Caenorhabditis elegans: one gene and its partners. The protein of the gene in region 1 interacts with the protein of each later gene in a pairwise test. Each region holds a gene or a part of one and is shown in the gene's direction. Other genes may lie near its edges. The genes, in order: atx-3, ubxn-5 and cdc-48.2.

Region 1 (6,588 bases):
ATATTTTGTTTAGTTCATAAGCGAAAACATAGGAAAACATAAAAATTTTCTTTTTAAAATAAAAAGAAAATGACCAAAAATTAAACGTTATTTTTCAAAAAATTTTCGATTTTTGTGAGGATAGTCTGAATTTTCTCAAATAAAATGCTTCCAGATGCCCAACTACAACCTCGACGAGATCCATCACTTCTGCCACGCATTCCAACATCACATCATGGAAAAAACCAGCAAATCCTGCCACTGCAACGAGCCGCTCTGTGAGGACTTGGAGTTTCAACCTCGATGGGCTTGTCAGAATTGCAACAAAGCGTTGAAGTATTACGATCCAATTCCCGACGATACTAAGCTCTGTCTGATCTGCTCTACTTATCAAGGAATTACTGGAAACACCCGTCCATCGAAAGCCACTGTGTTCAGCAAGGAAGAAGCCAACAAGGTTATTTCTTGGAATACGCTGATGCGAACATCGTCGGGCTCACTGTCACGGGAAGAGTTTGAGAAGATCTACGCATTGAAGAGATCTGAGCTCACAAAGGAAGAGATCGAAATTCTCGGACACAACGACAATATCAATCGTCATTTGGCTGTGGAGAAGCGTATTTCTGCAATGTCAACGTCTGAAAAGCTGAAGCCATATTCTATCCCGCTTTTCCAAAAATGCGGTTATCAAAATGGACATCACATGATCGTTGAAGTTTGCCCAGGAGTAGCGGAAAAGCTCAAGACGATGATTGTTTCGGTGAAAAATTCGAAAAATTTCGAACGAGTTCAAAGACCATAAATCACATATCCTATTGCATTTTTTTCGGTTTAAAGTTACTTTGAAGGCGCAAACGTTATCAAAAGACGAAGATTTTATGAAAAAATTTTAAAAATAAATAAAATAAAAATATTTTCGAAATTCAGCAAAAAATAATGATGCAAAAATAAACCATTCGCTACGAGACCCATCGAATTGCAATGACGCTTGCGCCTTTGAAGTAACTGTATGTTTCCCTTATTTTTTTTAATTCCAAATCCCTGTACTTTGACTATAAATTTTTGTTGTTTTCTTACTTTGCACATTTCTCAATTCCCGAAGTTATTTCGACATTTTTAATTGCTTTCCCTTTTTTAAATTTAAACATTCCCCCGGTTCTCACTTACAAAAGTGATATTCTGTTGATATTCTTGTTTCTCGTTTCATAATGCTGGTTGAATTATCCAAAAACTCAACTTATACTTCAGTTTTCAGTTGAAAATATTGTTTTCTTTACCCAAATCGAGAGATTTCAGGTTTAATATTCGAATTAACCGCTAAAATTTGCTTGTGTAGATTTACGCTAAACAAGGCTCCGGCGCAACATTGGAGTGACGTCGGCAAATTTCTTCAGCGAAATTTTTTTTAATGGAAATAGATGAATTTTCTTGTCAACTTGTTCGTTTTGCCCCAGATTTCCTTCTTTACGCTTTAAATGACTTATTTCAGCTAAAAAAAATGGCCCGCTACCTTCTCGGCGCCACAATGTACGTGGAAGACGTGCTTCGAAGAGACGATTGGAGTTTAGAAGAAACAGAAAATGTGAAAAAATACTTCAAAAATGTGAAAAGCTTCAAAATTCCGAAGATTGAGAAACGAAAAGCCGAGGAATTTGATGAGCCATGCAGAAAGAGAGTAAGAATTTATTTTTCAACAGTTTTTTTCTATTTTTTACATATTTTTCAGTCAATTTGCAGTGCCGAGTCGAGAAGGAGAAGTTCGAAAATGATTTGCAGGCTGGCATCCGATTAATGACACTATTTGCAGGATTTGAAGGTAGAAAATTGAATTTTTCATTCATTTCCATATTTATTTGGCTTAGAAATCGACGAAAAAGCGCTGGAAAGGCTCACAGATTTGGCAAAACTTCGAATAATCACATCAGCAAGACAGATGGCGATTGCTCAGCGGAGACGGAAAGATGGCTTCGAAATTCCTTTTAAAGTAATATAAAAATTTAAAATTGAAGATTTTCTACAAAAAATGACACGTTGTATAAATTATTTCTCAATTTTTTACCAAAAATTATATCAAAAATCGTTACAGAGCCCCGTGGAATGGACGTTGAAGCTACAAGGCGTTCAAAAAGTTCTCGACATCAAAGAATGGTATGACGTCACGTATTGGACGAGATTTCGCGCATTGAAGATGCAATTAATCGACGAAAACGGAGACTTGAAGTCGCCGAAAAACCAGAACTAATTCTAATTTCATGTGACATATTTATTAACTTATTTATTGATTTTCTTCTGTGAATTTTGCATAAAACTAGCCAATTTCTCTCGATTTCATTGTAAAATGTCGTATATTTTTTCGAGGTTGTGTTTAAGCCTTATTATATTTACGATACGATTTTTATGACTTTTTCAATTTCAGAACAATATTCTGCAGAATACTTTGACTTTTTTCAGCTCCAAAACATACCGAAATTCTTATTTCAAGCTGAAATTCTCGAAAACCTTTTGAATAAAGTCAATAAAACGTAGAATAAACAACACGCGGTGTCGTTATTTCGGAGCATCGTTGAGGTTTTTTAATTTCGTTTTTTTTTCGATTTCATCAAATTTCACATTTTTCGTAGGTTGTCAAACGAAATTGGTTATTTTTGTTGAAAAACAAGTTATAAATTGACGTAATTTTATTAAAATAAGTTTATCCTGTAAAAATTCTAACAATATATCCGATGGTTTTGCAGTTTTGTGCTGGAGTTCCATGGAAAACATTAGAAGTCGTGTTGTTTTTTTCGAAAAATAACAGCTTGTTAACAATTCTTCGCGAATTTTCCTATAAAATCTCAATTTTTTTTTTAAACCTATCCGTCTTACAAAAAATATCGATTTTGGCATTCAGCATGAGGAATATTATTGTGAAATCGAAAAAATAAAACTATTTCCAAGTTTTCTTCTCCAAAATTTGAGGTGTTTTATTTATTTTCTCCATTCGTTTCCCTAATCCAAATTTTTCCAGCTCCAAAAAATGTCAAAAGACGATCCGATCAACTCCATCTTCTTCGAGCACCAGGAAGCTGCTCTTTGTGCTCAACACGCGCTGAATATGCTCCTACAAGATGCTCTGTACAAGTGGCAAGATCTCCGAGACTTGGCCATTCAGATGGATAAAATGGAACAACAAATTCTGGGAAATGTAATGGAAAATACGAAAAAATTTTAATTGAAATTCTTGATTTTTCAGGCAAACCCAACTCCGGGACGAAGTGAGAACATGAACGAAAGCGGCTACTTTTCAATTCAAGTTTTGGAGAAAGCACTTGAAACATTTAGCCTCAAGCTCACAAATATCGAAAATCCTGCGATGGTGGACTATAAAAATAATCCCTTGTACGAGTTACCATATAATTTACAAAAAAATTTCATAATTTCCAATTCAGAACCGCCCGTGCTTACATATGCAACCTCAGAGAGCACTGGTTTGTGCTCCGAAAATTCGGAAATCAATGGTTCGAGCTGAATTCGGTGAACCGTGGGCCCAAATTGCTCTCTGACACTTATGTTAGCATGTTCTTGCATCAAGTGTCGTCGGAAGGTATAAATTCATGAATTTTGAAGCTAAATTTTGATAATTAGAGCCAGATTTTTATTTATCCCTAAACTACAAGCTGTAGCGTTGATTTTTTTTTCTGAAAAAAAGTTCCAAAAATCGAAAATTATTTTAATTTATCAATTTTCAGGTTATTCAATCTTCGTGGTGCAGGGAGTTTTGCCAAGATCCGATGCAGACGATCTCATCTCGCTATGCCCAGTTGTACCGCCAAAAGTTACACCGAAAAAGGAGCAGAAGCTGGAGAAAGTCATGACAAAATTCTTCAATACCGTCGGAAAACGACTTGGCGGTGGAAGCGGTGCTCCTCCGGATTCTCAAGAAGAAAAAGATTTGGCGATAGCTTTTGCAATGTCTATGGAAACAAAGGATGGCTCTGAAGTGTCTCGAAGTTCCGCTGAAATCGATGAAGAAAATCTCAGAAAGGCGATTGAGCTGAGCCAGGCTCCAGGACCATCAGAACCGGCTGAGATACCGCTATTGACTCGTTCTCGATCTTCGACGCCGCCAGGAGCTTCAGAACCTTTTTCAAATGCCGAACAACAGCGCAGAGATCGACAAAAGTTTTTGGAGCGATTCGAAAAGAAGAAAGAAGAGAGGAACGATGAAAAATAACGATTTAATCGTAAATTTATTATTTGAATTCTATTATGTGAATATATTCTCGGCTTTTCCTGTATAATTCGATTATTCATTTCTCCCGATACTTGTATCCCCAAATACTTGGTGCTTATGTATGAACCGCTTTCAGACTATGTGATATATTATTTAGAATTAGATGAAATCTCCTTTTTTTCTGAATTTTGTTGCCCTTTTCAAAGTTATTCTGGCATTCCATGAGTATTACTACCTTCAATTTTAGAGTTTTTGGAAAAAATAATCATTTTTTTTAGATTGAAAATGTTCGAGGAATTGGATGCAGAGGACGGCGGAGAAGAACAGGAAATGCCAATGAATGGTGATTTTTGAAAATTCAAGAAATTTTTCGAATTCGAGCTTAAGCTAGTGCTCCACGAGGAGTAGGATTTCCCAGTTTTTTTACTCAAAAGAAGAAAATGGCAATATCTTAAGCTATTTTAATACAAAATTTGATAAAAATTGAATTTTTTTGTTAATTTTCTGATCATTTTTTCCCGATTTTCTCTGAAAAAAAAAACTTTAAAAAATTATTTGATGGCACCCTTGAGCCGAAATAATAAAAATATTTTACAAAATCTAATAGTTCCAGAATTCGGCGGCGGCGGTGAGGACATTGACGATATTCTCGGCGATGCTCCGGATCTTCCAGACGACGAATACTCGAATAGTGTTCCACAAGGAGCCGCTGATGGATCCATTGAAAACGACGAAAGACGAATGAGAAATGATGGAGCCGGCTCAACGAACGAGGATGACGAAGAGCCGATCGAGCCAACTTATCTGGGCGACGCAATCGATTCGCTTATGATGCATTGGTGTCAGCTGCTGACGAATGTATCGGTTAAAGCGCCCGTTCCACCACCATCAACACTTAATCATGTTAAGGAAGTCGCAGAAGTCTGCAGTAAACATGTACGTGGTGGGATTCTGGAAAAAATCTGAAAAATTCGAAGCTTTTTTACCTAAAAAAAACCAATTTATCAAAGTTTTATTGGTAATTCTCTAAACATTTTTTTCCATTTTTGATTTTTGAAATAAAAAATAAAAATACTTGAATTTTCTATTTACTTTTCGAGTCTACCATTCAAAATGTTAGAGAAATTTGGAGGATTCTCATTCAAAAATTTGAAATTTGGAGCTCATTTTAGTAATTTTCAAAAAAAAATTCCAATTTCCAATTTTCAAAAAAAAAACTTAAATCCTTAATTGTTTCAGTTCCGCGATGCCTCTGTCGATGTGAATAACGAGTTCACGCGTCTCGGTGTTCAATGGGAAATGGAACAACCATATTCACAATATGCGATTGAAGAGGAGAACCTGGATGAAGCTATCGAACGGCAGGAGACTATCATCGCAGCCGCCAGAGAAATGTTGAACTCTCGGATTCAGATCTACAATGAGGCACATCCAAATGCTGGGAAACATTTTACCACTTAATTTATTTTTTACCTTGCTATTTTTGTATATTTTTGCTACTTTTTTCTCGAATCTAAATCTAAATGTATAACTCAACAAGTTTATAACCAACAATATAATAATATAACCGGAAAATTAGCGAATTTTCTTTTCGATCTTGATGTTGTTCAGATCAAACTCGACATGGAATTTCTTGCCGTTGATGGCAAAGTCGGTAGAGCCACTGCCAAAAACTCTTTGGATGAAATTTGGTTGGAGAACTTTAACGACAAGAAGAAAATCCTGTACGCAACATGTTGTGATGTTAAGCGATTTGAAGTTGGCAGAGATTTGGAGAAGCTGAAAATTGGTAAAATAAGTAGGTAAATTGCTGTTCCGAGCACAGATTACCTGAATGATACGGTTTGCATCATGCACGGAAACATTTTTCATGTGGATCTGAATATCACTAAAGTGTGTGAGATGCATGAAAACTGGGCAAAGACAGCTTTTCCAGATGAAATGAATGGATTTTGCCTTCTTCCAGTGATTCGACTCGACGACTTTTCCAATATGGTCGAAGCAAATGTGATCGTCGATCTTCAGATCTTGAATATTATCACTTCCAAAGTATTGAAGAATCATTGGGATCTCCTCATGGATGAATCCAGTGATTGTGAGCTTTCCAACGTCCACTTTTTTCACGGATTTCAACATAATTCGGATGATCTCTGAAGTTTTCTTTCGATCGACTCCCTCGAAATCCGGGCCCAAAACAACTTCGAAAGATTCCAAATGAAGTTTCGGATTATTGATAATCATCTTGAAGTCGGTAGAAGCCAGCTTCAAATAATGTCCGTTTTTGATTGTCTTTTCCGAAAAGTTATAGGCCTTCAAGGTGCATCCGACGTTGCTTCGGCGGTAGAAAATGCACAATTCATCGAATTTCAGAACGATTTCTCCGAGCTCTTTGATGA
Region 2 (5,256 bases), on another chromosome or scaffold:
AGAAATTTTCCATCGATTTTTTGTATTTTTCGTTAAAACATACTCATTAATTCAAAAAAAAACTAAAATTAAAAATTAAAACGCACATTTAAATTTTAACAAATTGTGAGAAAATCTATGAAAATTCCACAGAAAAAAGTTGAAACTACAGTACTCTTTAAAGGCGCACACCTTTTCTAATTTAACAAAATATTATGTGCCGAGACCGGTTACCGTATTTTTGAGTAAAAAATTGCTACATTTAGATGCTGGGTGATTTAAAAAAGCATTTAAAAAGTTTTTTGAATCAAATTTTAAAAAAAATAATATGAAATTGAATTACAGGAATATTCTCCAACAGCATATAAATCATGTCTATCGCTTCAATGTAATCAACTTCTAACATCAACATCCGATGGAAAAGTCAAGTTGTATGATGCAAATAATTTCAACGTTTTGCAGACATATTCGGTAGGGAATATAGAATATTATTCAGTTAATATAAATAATTTCTAGGTCGGTTCCTATACCCGTCAATCATTTTTGGAGCACGGAGCACACTTGATTATGGCGCGAAGTTTGAAGCGTAATTACACATTCAGTGTGAGTAGAAACCATTTTAAGAAATTTCATAGGTCCCCCTATTTTCCTGAGAATTCGTTTTTTTTTTGCAAAATATGCAAAAATTCAGTGTTCCACTCTTTCCGTTTGTCTCTCTTTTTCGAGCACAAAAAATGAAAAAAAAAGCAAAGATGGATGTATATATTCGGAATTCGATTTGTCACAAGGCATTTTTTTGGTTTTTGGTTGCTTTTTTAGCACATTCTTGGACTCGGAAGAAAAAAAACCACATATCTAAAATTTTGAACGAACGAAAAACAGTGAAAATATGCATTAATTAGAATTTCAACCCGATTAAATTTCCAGATCTACAGCCCAGGAACACGTAGTCAGCAGTGGTGTGCTTCACATGAATTGGCCGCGGAGCCAGCCAAATTTGATTATTCGTAAGTTTAGTTGTTAGCACACAAAATTAATTGAAAAAATTTAAAAAAAACTTCTAAAAATGATAATTTGTAAAATTTTCATATTTTTCAGAAAATTTTAAATTTTCCAATTCTTCAAAATTTTGTAGGTTTAAGCTCTTAAAATTGCCAGATATTTTGGAATATTTTTAAAAAATTTGGATTTTCGAATTTTTAGAAAATTGGAAAATTCTTTATTTTTCGGCATTCCAAATTTTCAGAAAATTTTTTGCTTTTGGAATTTCCAACAAAATATAATTTTACGGCTTTCCAAATTTTCTAAAACTTTGAAATTTTTTGAATTCTTCAATTTTTATTTGTATTTTTCGGTTTTTCAAATATGCAAAAAAAACCGGTATTTCTGAAAAATTGAAATTATGCCAGATTTTTTTTTTGAAATTGACTAAAAATTTTATTTTTTCAGCCCATCATCGAGAACTCTGGCAATTGGCAATGGTGATAGCTCAATTCTGTTCTGTCTTCCAGCATCGGCTCCGGATCAAGAAAACTGAATATCTTCTCAATTTCTGAACATTTCCTTTGTGTATATACCAAATATCATTGCCATTTGATATGATCTCTTCTGAATCGATATCATTTAACTTCATATTTTATAGATTTGCATAATTATGAAATGTTTTGGCCCCTTTCCATGCTTCTTCCTGTTTAACCCCGTTTGGTGCACAGTTTAGCGCTCGCCCGCAAGAAAAACAATGGTGGAGCTCACCTGGAGCATCGTGTTATTTGTCTTTTGGCAAATACACAAAACAGTCTTCTCTCTTTCTCGGCTCGTGCTGCGTGGCTCATTTGCGTATATACTCTAAGGAGTTATGCATGGAACGTTTGGAACGTTTGAAGAAGAGAGCTCAATGTCTATGTCCCCCGTGTGCTCTCCGGAGACAAAGGGTTAGGCGGAGAGCAGCAATATGAGCATTTTGACAAGTACTCAAATATTTCTCCATTGTTTAGTTTCGAGATAATATGGTTAAAATCACAAAAGTTTCATGTTTACCGGAAAGATTTTCATAGTTAAAGTGTGCCATGCGGAGCCGGAAATCTAGAGAATTTCGTCGAAAATTTGAAATTCTTGGCAATAAAGTTATTATGGATCTTTTGAAATCGAGGCGCAAGGGCGCTCTATGGCACTCTCCGCCCCTAGACGTTGGGTCTCGTTAGGAATAGAATCCGGAAATTCGAATTTTAAATGTTTTTGTTGTTTTTAATGATTTTATGTCGAATTTTATGAATTTATATAATTTCGACATAAAAACAACGATAAATAATTAATTTCTCAGTGGAGCACATTTGCATTTCGACTTCAAAAATCGCATTTTTTTGCGTCCCTATAATAACCCCCTACTTAATATTTTTACCAACAAGATGTTTTGGTACACAAAAAGTGCATTTCGAGAACTAAATAATTGCTCCGAGAGCCGCGTTTCCCCTATTCACACTAACTCATTTTATCCAGTTTTGCATGTAAAAATCTTTTTATGCACAAAAAAACAACACGGGAGAGACGGAGAGCAAGATTTTCCTCTTTTTTCAAGAAAACTGAGCAATAAAGACATGAAAAGGCAAGGATTTATTTCAAAAATAGTTATTATTATACGTTCCAGAAAAAATTACGAACGTATAATAATTCGTAAAAGAATTAAAATAAAATACAAAAGACAATGTGTGAAACCGGGGAATTTAGGAAGGAAATAATGGGAAACGATGCCTACCTTGAAGGACAATCAATTGTACCGGAAAAAGACCAAAATGCATTATGAAAATGGAAAAAATGCAAGTGCGCTCTATTGATGTGTCAATAGTAGAGCGTACATGCATCAGATACTAAATTCAAAAACTAGAAAGGATTAGGAGATTTTCGAGAGTGAGAGAGATTCTAGACAAGGTTAACTGGAACTATAAAAGGAAAATGTAAAGACAATTATGTTCAAACAGAAGCAGTGGAAGATCGATTTGGGTTTTACACTTTTTGACAGTGTATCTTTTTTTGAATTAAACAGAGAAAATTTGTTACAGAGAAAGAGAAATAAAAAATCAGATTCTCACCCAAAATTTTCAAATTTAATTCAAGCGATGTGCTCTTCCCTTATGGAATGTTCCATCAGCATACGATCCAAGACTTTTTTCTTCTTTTCCAGCACATACTTTATCACAATCAACGACTCCGTAGAGAGTGAGATGTCCAATTGGTTTTGTGCTCATTTCACGTTTTGGGGTTGAAGCCTGACGTTTCAGCTTCTTCTGACGCTCGTGAAAGGCTTTTCCGTACTTTCTGGGGCGCTTCTCGAGGACAAAGTAGAAGGACCAGCTGGAAAATTTAAATAATTATTAAATTTGGTAATGTGTATTTATAAATGTTTTTGAAAAAAACTTTCCCCATTCCATTGAAATTTTTTGCAGAAAACCCCTATTTTTAAAGGTGGTGTAGCCATAATGGAGATTAAGCTTTAAAATTTTTTTTAATTGGTGTGAAACTCAGAAAACCCACAAAAAACATCGATAGAAAAAGAAGAAGAATTCTCCTTTTAAAAACTATATTTTCCAATTTTGGTTTATTTCTTTTTTTTTTTGGAATTCGCTCCAAAATGAGAATTTCTAGATTTTTACGAAACGGATCCCATTGGAAATCACAAATTTCGGAATAAAGATTAACCATTTTTTTGGTAAAAGTTCAATTCTTAAATATCTATCAAAAGTTGATAATTACATACTACTGACATAATTATTTTCCAACGCACACACACTTTCACTCACTCTGCCACTTTATGCGACCACGGACGAAGATACGTGCATCCTTCTTTATCATCCGGGAACCAAAACTTGTCTAATGTACAGAAGCCGCCTTCTCCCAGAATACATGTGTATGAGTGAAGCCTGAAAATTATAGTTTTTGAATTGTTATTAGAAATTGGAAATTGGAAAGTATTTGAATTTTTTGAACTGTTAGAAAGTACTCTTAAAAATATATTAGTTTTAAAAAATCCTGAAAAGAAAACGTGTGAATTCAAAAATAAATAAAATTTAGACTTTGCAACGTCAAATTCTGATAGCAAATTTTCAACAAAAAAATCATTACCACATTTTCACTAACTACCACTAGACGATGCCAACTAACAATCACGTACAAAAGGAGAAGTTTGCGGAGGATCGTGCTCTGTTGAGCCAACAGGTTAGATTCGGATTATGACAGTGATAAGTTAGAATTTCAGAACAAAGAATATGCGGAGAGTCTTGCCAAGGATATTGCAAAGAAAGAAGAAAAGGATAAAATTAGATTTGAAGCTGAACAGAAGGAGCTGAGGAAGAAAACCATTCAGGATTACAGAGAGAAGTTGAAAGGTAATTTAGAACCCATAGTTGCAAATAATGCAAGCTGGCCTATTCCAGGAACTGTATCACAAGGACCCCTCCGTCTTCTAGTACGATACCCCAATGGTTCTCGATTAATTCTGAGCTTCTCCCCATCACAACCGATGACTTCACTTTTTGATGCTATTATTTTGAATCCGGCGTGCCCTGACTATTTCTCGGTTCGAAGTGTCTATCCTCGTGCGGAGATTCATTGCTATCCAGCATGGTATCACACGATTTTCAATGCAGAATTCAAGGATGAAACAGAAAAAGGAGCAAATAATGTGGCGAAGGAGACGAATGAAGTAAAATGTCTAGAAACTATTCCGAATAACTCAATCCTCTACGTGAATTTGATTCAATGAAGTCAAACTCATCTTGACTATAATGCAGGGTATTTCATGTAGGCGCCAAGATGCCTAGCTGACCTTAAGGAGACCTTCACCTGCCTCGCGCCTTTAATGCCTTTGGGTGACGTGAGGCAGGTAGGTTCCAGGTAGGCTCTCACGCCGCGCCTGCCCATCACGGAAGACCTTCACTTAATGTATGCCTGATACATATAGAAATTCAAAAATAGCCAGACTTCAACCAAACTTTGGCAAGTTGTGGGCGAGAATTTTAAAAAAGTTCTCCATATCGATCAATAATTAAAATTTATTAAACTTGGCCAAGCTCTTGGGTTGAAGTTCATTGAAAATTTGCTAAAAGTTGGTTCAAAGTGTGGTGAGATGATTTGCATTAGAGAATGAAGGAAGTTTGGTAAGCCGTGAGCTAACTTGGGTGAGAAATTGGCAAATTGGCAAAACTTGGTAAGAAATTCCAAAGGGGAAATCTTGACGTAGAATCCAAGCTGAACTTCGAATAGATACTGGTAATCTTTCTCTGT
Region 3 (7,554 bases), on another chromosome or scaffold:
GCTTGAAGAATCATTTGAAGAATATCGAGAGTTCCTCCTGTGAAATCTAGCATGATGTTTCCGATTGACCATCCAACTGTACTTTTTCGGGTATAGTTGAAGTAAGCCTGAAATTATTTACAATTTATTTTAGATCACTTGTATTTTTTAAAATTAATTTTCAATAGTTAAATATTTTTTGATAATTTCTCTACGATTGGATAAAAATATTTTCGATTGAATAAAATTATAATTTAAATTAACATGTTTTCGATAAAACATCATTTTCCCAGCTTTTTTTCGTGAATTTTTGATGACGATACAGTACTTTTTAAGGCGCACAACTTTTTGAGTTAAACAAAATCTGTCGTATCGAGACCGGATACCGTAGTTTTGGCGCAAAATTTCGCGGTCAAGTTTTGAAAACTTTTTTGGAAAAACTAGTAATTTAAAAATAATAAAAAATAATTTCAGGCTAGAATACTGTTTACAAATGGACAATATGAAACAAACCTGTGGGAAATATTTACAGCAGGTTACAGCCATTTTTATGTACGACAAACTGGTCACAAACGAGAGCAATTGAATTTTCCTGAGAACCGTGGCGGCAGCGGAGCAGAATCCAAAAGAGATCAGCACAATCATAAGGGCGATACATTTTGAAGAAACACTCTGATTATCACGTTCATAGAATAAACATTGAAGAATTGTGATAAAGCAGGCAAGAAATGCGTGAACAGCGAACACAACATCGTTCAAAAGTACTGGTGGCGGTGACCGAGGATTCACAATATTGTATTCATTCTGAAAGAAGATGAATTAATTTTAGTTATTTATTTTCTAGTTCTCACCTTTACATGACTATTATAATACATTAACAGATTGAAAATAGCATATGCACAAAATCCGACAAGGTTCAGAGATAAGAAATCGAAGTTTAGCCCGACGACGCTTTTTCTTTTGAAATTCAGATACATTTGGGGATAAAACGAAATACTCCATGCGAAGAAGTATGTCCATCCAACAATTTGAATCAAAATGGCAAGAAAGTGAGAGCGAATAACTGTGATTCTAGCAAACGCATCTTCAAGACTGGAAATGAGTTTTGATTTAATTTTTACAATATATAATCATCGACTCACTCCAGAGGACAAGTAATTGACCCATCTGTAGTACAATTGAGAGCTTCTAAAATAGCTCCGGACACCAATTGGCTTCCTAAAACTGTCACATTAGCATTCCAATTGTCAACGAGAATAGCATCAGGATGGGAGATGTATGGTGACTGCGAGAGGGAGATACGTGTTGCGTTCAATGATTGTGATGTGTGGTTTCTGAAAATTATATTGATTGAATACAGCACATGTTCGTATGATTGTTTTTATTTTATAACCTGTTGGATGAAAAATATTATTAATAACTCACTTGATCTGGAAATTAACAGAGACTTCTCCTCCAATTACAATTTCCAATTCTTTCTGTCTAACAACTAAATTATTTGTCGCAAATGTGAATGGAACCAAGAAGAGAACGAGCAAAAATGCCACCGGGAAACTCATTATATCATTCTGGAAACAATTATACTTCAAAAAATGGAAGCAAAATATAAAACAGGAGTTGTGAATAGAGAAAACGACGCTTTATATCATCAGTTTTGGCATTGAAATGAATCAATAACATAAATTGAGCGAGAAAAAGAGAAACAGCAAAATAGTGAAAAACGAATGATTGACCGAGAGAACGGGGGAAGGTTGGAATTTTTGTAAACAAACGAGGGAAACATCATGTTGAAAACATATATATACACATTTTTTATTTAATGCGTCGGAATATTCAGAAAATCGTTCAGATCATCGATAATTTTTATTGATAAAAGACCAAAAATCCAGTTTACATGAGGAAAACAATACACTGTGAATTTTAAAGAAAATTAAATATTCCAAAAAAATTTAATTTAATTTGTAATTTGGGAAACTGAAACAATAAAACACTATCGAAAACTTAAAAAAAAACATGGATTGAAGCTCAAAAAAACTGTTTTAATGTTTCGTTTTGTAGAACTTTAGATTTTTGTAAAGCGGGAGACACCACGAATCCGCAAGAAGTTTCTTCCAGAAGCAGATTCGCTGAAAAAAAATGAAGTTGTCTTAAACCTGATGCTTTTTTTTGATAATTTTTATACATTATGTGGTTTCCTGGTTGGCCATTTTGTTAAAATCATTATTTCCTGTAATAAAAGTCAGGCGTTCTCAGTTATTTCCAGATATCGGATTCCTAAAATAGCTGAACTCCAAAAAACGGTCAAGTCTCTGAACACCAAACGCGCTCCTTCGAACAAAAAAAGCAGCGCGTACGTTTAACGAACAGTTTTTTCTTCTAGAAATTGTTTTCTCATTGCGCAATGCATTGCTCATTATAAATAATTATGTTTTAAACAGTTGCTGGGAGGTTTTCGCTATCTCAGTCGTTGTTAAACAATTACCAGAGTGTGTTATCGTATTTATCTTTGCCGTATAATATCTTTTCCATATTTATGCGATTGCGGAAATTTACCACTGACTCTGCGGAAACTGCGGAAATTTACCACTGAAATATCACTCATATCGTACGTTTCTTTGAATTCGTCTCCTTGTTATTCAAATTATGTCTTCGTTTTTGAACGAGATATTTACCTCTAGCTTTCTAGATCGTCACATCACTTAGGTTCGCCTTGAACTTCTGTTCCGCTAAAGACGGCTGGTTCACATATATTTTTAACAATGTAATTATTACTTATGACCCGAATAAAACGGTAGAACGCTTTGTGAAATTATTCGAAAGCAAATGCGCCCCAAGGAGAGAGTGTGAATGAGAGGCTGCGTTTTGTCATCATGTAGAGGCAGCATTGGGGTGTTCTGTAGAGAACTTAGTCTACGTGTCTCATCTTCCATATTTCTTAATTTTGTTCTATTGGCTCTTTTTGCATCTCTTCTTTGATTCGATTCTTTAACTGAATTAGATCAGAAATTATACTTGAAGTTTTATCTTGAAAACCTACTGTAGAAAAGTTTGTCCGTGTTCTACTTTCTTATTAGACTTTCGCGTTTCGGCCTTTCCTATGTTCTACCCCCATCTTCCGTTCTTTTTTATTATTCCAAGATTTTACAGAGAAGTCGTTTAACCATGGCCTCAGTTCCGACTCAGAGAGACGAGAAGGAAAAGAAGAATGATGAGCTGGCTACGGCTATCTTGAAAGTAGGTTTTTCTCCAAGGTAATCATTTCAATATAATTAACTCTTTCAGGACAAAAAACGCCCAAACAGACTCATTATCGATCAGTCTGACAATGACGACAACTCCATGGTCATGCTCTCACAGGCCAAAATGGACGAGCTGGGACTCTTCCGTGGAGATTCGGTGATTTTGAAAGGAAAGAAACGAAGAGAGACTGTCTCTATCGTTCTTAATGCGGACAATTGCCCGAATGACAAGATCAAGATGAACAAAGTGGTTCGAAACAACCTCAGAAGCCGTCTTGGAGACGTTGTCAGTATCTCAAGTGCTCAACTCGAATATGGAAAAAGGGTTCATGTTCTTCCAATTGATGACACAATCGAGGGATTGACTGGGTATGTTCTTGCCACGGAGAAATAAAGACTGTATTTTTTATTTTAGAAATCTATTTGATGTCTTCCTTCGGCCATACTTTACCGACGCCTACCGCCCAGTGCACAAGGGAGACATATTCACTGTTCAAGCTGCAATGAGAACTGTCGAGTTCAAAGTTGTCGAGACGGATCCTGCTCCGGCGTGTATTGTTGCTCCAGATACTGTTATTCACTATGAAGGAGATCCAATTAAAAGAGAGGAAGAAGAGGAGGCTCTCAATGAAGTTGGATACGATGATCTCGGAGGTGTTCGTAAACAACTCGCTCAGATCAAGGAAATGGTTGAGCTCCCACTTCGCCATCCCCAACTTTTCAAGGCTATCGGAGTGAAACCACCACGTGGAATTCTTCTGTTCGGTCCACCAGGAACCGGTAAGACACTGATCGCAAGAGCTGTCGCCAACGAAACAGGAGCATTCTTCTTCCTCATTAACGGACCGGAAATTATGTCTAAAATGTCTGGAGAGTCGGAATCGAATCTTCGTAAAGCATTTGCCGAGTGTGAGAAGAACTCACCTGCTATTTTGTTCATTGACGAGATCGATGCGATTGCTCCAAAGAGAGAAAAGGCTCACGGTGAAGTCGAGAAGCGTATCGTCTCGCAACTTCTCACACTTATGGATGGACTTAAAACTCGCGCTCATGTTGTCGTGATCGCCGCTACTAATCGTCCTAACTCTATTGATGGAGCCCTTCGTCGTTTCGGTCGCTTTGATCGTGAAATTGACATTGGAATCCCTGATGCTGTTGGCCGTCTGGAAATTCTCAGAATTCATACCAAGAACATGAAATTAGGAGAAGACGTTGATTTGGAACAAGTTGCAAACGAATGCCACGGATTTGTCGGAGCTGATTTGGCTTCCCTCTGCTCTGAGGCTGCTATTCAGCAAATTCGCGAAAAGATGGAGCTGATTGATTTGGAGGATGATACAATTGATGCTGAAGTTCTCAATTCTTTGGCGGTCACTATGGAGAACTTTAGAGTAAGTTATCATTTTTTTGCACTTAAGAGACGTATCATTAATCATTTTTCAGTTCGCAATGGGAAAATCATCCCCATCTGCTCTTCGCGAAGCCGTTGTGGAAACTCCAAATACTACTTGGTCCGACATCGGAGGTCTTCAAAACGTCAAGCGCGAACTTCAGGAGCTCGTTCAATACCCTGTAGAGCATCCAGAAAAGTATCTCAAGTTCGGAATGCAACCATCTCGTGGAGTTTTGTTCTACGGTCCACCAGGATGCGGTAAAACACTTCTCGCTAAAGCGATTGCCAATGAATGCCAGGCTAACTTCATTTCCATCAAGGGACCCGAGCTTCTTACTATGTGGTTCGGAGAATCCGAAGCTAATGTTCGCGACGTGTTTGATAAAGCTCGTGCTGCCGCTCCATGCGTTCTCTTCTTTGACGAACTCGATTCGATCGCAAAGGCCAGAGGAGGAAGTGTAGGAGATGCTGGAGGTGCTGCCGATCGTGTTATCAACCAGGTTCTCACTGAAATGGATGGTATGAATGCCAAGAAAAACGTGTTCATTATTGGAGCTACCAATCGTCCTGATATCATTGATCCAGCTGTTCTTCGTCCAGGACGTCTCGATCAGTTGATCTACATTCCTCTTCCTGACGAAGCATCTAGACTTCAAATTTTCAAGGCCTCACTCCGCAAAACGCCCCTTTCCGCCGATCTCGATTTGAACTTCCTTGCCAAGAACACCGTCGGTTTTTCGGGAGCCGACTTAACCGAAATTTGCCAAAGGTTTGTTATAAAAATTAGTTAAAAAAATATTCGCATTTGTCAATTAATACCATTTTCAGAGCATGCAAGCTTGCCATTCGTGAATCAATTGAACGGGAAATTCGTCAGGAAAAGGAGCGTCAGGACAGAAGTGCTCGTGGAGAAGAACTTATGGAGGATGAACTGGCTGACCCAGTTCCAGAAATAACTAGAGCACACTTCGAGGAGGCAATGAAGTTCGCTAGACGTTCCGTGACTGATAACGATATCAGAAAATACGAGATGTTCGCCCAGACTCTTCAACAATCTCGTGGATTTGGAAACAACTTCAAGTTCCCAGGAGAAGCTCCTTCTGCTGGACAACCTGTTGGAGGAAACGGTGGCTCCGGTGGAAATGACGATGATGACCTGTACAACTAGATTTCGCTAAAATTGTTTTATTCTATTTATTGTAAATGCATCCTTGCGAGGGTATCAAATGTTCTCATGAATGTTAAATTTATTTCCAACTTTTACAAGTAAAAAAATCGTAACCGTAAAAAGTATTTGTTAAAATCTTATGCTTTAACAGAGATAGCAGGAGGGACCGGGGAGGATTCGGGTGAAATGAGATCAGTGATGGCTTTATGGATAACCTTGAACCACTGTTCACGGCATTCGTCCCAGATCAGTTCAAGCTCTGTTTCATCAGAATTGTTTGCTAAAATAGTGATTTCTCCATCAAACATTTCAATGCCGTCGTCTTTTAGTTGCAAGTGTGGATCATAGAGTAGAAGCTCGTTTGATAATTCCTTCCAATTCACTTTTTTGCCTTTGATGATTTCTGACAATGAGAGAGTGATCGGCATGCAGTTTTTATCTTTTATCAAATCTTCTGATTCTGCTGTAGACATGATATTCAGTCGTTCATTCTAAAATTATTTGAAGTTATTGCAAAATAAAGTTCAATAATCTTACTTCTTGATCGTAAACGAGCTCGGCGACAAATGGGCATTCCGATTTGGCAGGATTCGGATCGAGGCTTAGGCTTCTGTCAATTTTCTGGAATTTTTTATTTGAGTTCAATTTGTTTTAGAAACACACAAACCTCAAGTGGAACTCGTATATCAAGCTTCGGTTGAGCAGAAATCACTACAGTCTCTCCGTTTGCTGGCATGTGAACAGGTACTTTGTACTCCTTTTCCACTTTTCCTTTCAAGAACTCCATCTTTGAAGCTTCGCCGTGCACAAACATGACGTGTTGAGGCTCACATTGACGGATAAGCTGCATAATTCCTTTAGCATCAGCATGAGCACTAAACGACATGTATTCCACACCAAGTCGAATTTCGTGCATCTTTTGATCAATTTCAATTTTCTTTTCGCCATTAATAACTCTTGCTCCAACTGTTCCAGCGACACAGTAACCAGGCATAATGATCATGTTCAGAGGATCTGAGCACCATTTTTTGAAAACTTTGAGCGATTGACCTCCGTGAAGCATTCCAGGAGTAGAAAAGAGAACCTGAGGTCCTGGTTGATCTTCACATCCCTTTTCCATTGGTTTGATATGCTTGAATTCGAACATATTTCTTTCTACGAAAGTTTTCTTAATGTTCTCGTTGGTCCAGCTGATGAAAAGTCGGTAATACTGATTTGCCCGTTCTGCAAGACCTTGGGAAAAATAGATTGGTACGTTGAGAGCCATTCTCTCCCAATATGATTCAAGCAGGATACACAGCTCCTGCGCTCGTCCCAAGGCAAAGACTGGAATAATTACTTTTCCTCCTTTCATCACACATTCATGAACTTTTCGAAGGAAATCTCTTTCTCTTGCCCTTTTCGAATCACGGATTGTGGTCGCATATGTTGACTCAGAAATAAGGACAGTTGGTCTAACACCAGGAAGAACTCTCGCCGCTCCAAGATGCCTATCTGGAGTCATGTTGTAATCACCAGTGTATAGAACAGAATGATCTCCAAGTCGAATTTCAAACATTGCAGCTCCAAGAACATGTCCAGCATAAAATGCACGAATAGAAAGTTCGTTGTCAACGTGAATAATTTCATGAAGTGCACATCCGACAACCTTTTTCATACAATTCTTGATGTCATCTGAGGTGAAAAAGTTTGTCTCGCCTTTGATGTCACATTGAACTTTTCGGTAATCTTCCAATAAAACTGGGCAAATGGCTTTTGTAGGGTAAGTCATGTAA

Evidence for each region.
Region 2: the proteins of atx-3 (region 1) and ubxn-5 interact in a two-hybrid assay, tested with the Caenorhabditis elegans proteins (one study listed by BioGRID).
Region 3: the proteins of atx-3 (region 1) and cdc-48.2 interact in binary tests that used the Caenorhabditis elegans proteins (3 or more experiments, as listed by UniProt).

Annotation. Positions count from the first base shown.
Region 1 is NC_003283.11:15,573,286-15,579,873, reverse strand, and holds atx-3 (Ataxin-3 homolog), read left to right. Parts: upstream 1-2,430; 5' UTR 2,431-2,547; intron 2,548-2,986; 5' UTR 2,987-2,995; coding exon 2,996-3,163; intron 3,164-3,211; coding exon 3,212-3,357; intron 3,358-3,407; coding exon 3,408-3,562; intron 3,563-3,707; coding exon 3,708-4,192; 3' UTR 4,193-4,376; downstream 4,377-6,588. Other genes in the region: F28F8.7 (ELM2 domain-containing protein), read left to right, coding at 155-781; F28F8.9 (uncharacterized protein), read left to right, coding at 1,388-1,417, 1,469-1,654, 1,717-1,795, 1,842-1,963, 2,066-2,221; Coiled-coil domain-containing protein mdt-28, read left to right, coding at 4,478-4,535, 4,800-5,128, 5,432-5,653; fbxa-94 (F-box domain-containing protein), read right to left, coding at 5,768-5,971, 6,023-6,588. UniProt on the Caenorhabditis elegans protein: Acts as a chain editing deubiquitinating enzyme that binds and cleaves 'Lys-48'-linked polyubiquitin chains, with a preference for chains containing four or more ubiquitin molecules thereby modulating protein degradation by the ubiquitin-proteasome pathway.
Region 2 is NC_003280.10:10,233,333-10,238,588, reverse strand, and holds ubxn-5 (UBX domain-containing protein 5), read left to right. Parts: upstream 1-4,090; 5' UTR 4,091-4,122; coding exon 4,123-4,188; intron 4,189-4,228; coding exon 4,229-4,358; intron 4,359-4,406; coding exon 4,407-4,735; 3' UTR 4,736-4,756; downstream 4,757-5,256. Other genes in the region: F-box/WD repeat-containing protein mec-15, read left to right, coding at 325-450, 496-582, 907-986, 1,429-1,516; pugs-6 (BPTI/Kunitz inhibitor domain-containing protein), read right to left, coding at 3,081-3,327, 3,774-3,893. UniProt on the Caenorhabditis elegans protein: Probably acts as an adapter for ATPase cdc-48.1 and/or cdc-48.2, conferring substrate specificity. Unlike other UBX domain-containing protein does not bind 'Lys-48'-polyubiquitinated chain.
Region 3 is NC_003280.10:8,135,370-8,142,923, forward strand, and holds cdc-48.2 (Transitional endoplasmic reticulum ATPase homolog 2), read left to right. Parts: upstream 1-3,126; 5' UTR 3,127-3,141; coding exon 3,142-3,213; intron 3,214-3,261; coding exon 3,262-3,587; intron 3,588-3,633; coding exon 3,634-4,609; intron 4,610-4,661; coding exon 4,662-5,380; intron 5,381-5,439; coding exon 5,440-5,779; 3' UTR 5,780-5,861; downstream 5,862-7,554. Other genes in the region: ctns-1 (Cystinosin homolog), read right to left, coding at 1-107, 493-783, 831-1,071, 1,122-1,313, 1,405-1,538; ints-11 (Integrator complex subunit 11), read right to left, coding at 5,917-6,270, 6,317-6,400, 6,447-7,554. UniProt on the Caenorhabditis elegans protein: ATP-dependent chaperone which probably uses the energy provided by ATP hydrolysis to generate mechanical force to unfold substrate proteins, disassemble protein complexes, and disaggregate protein aggregates.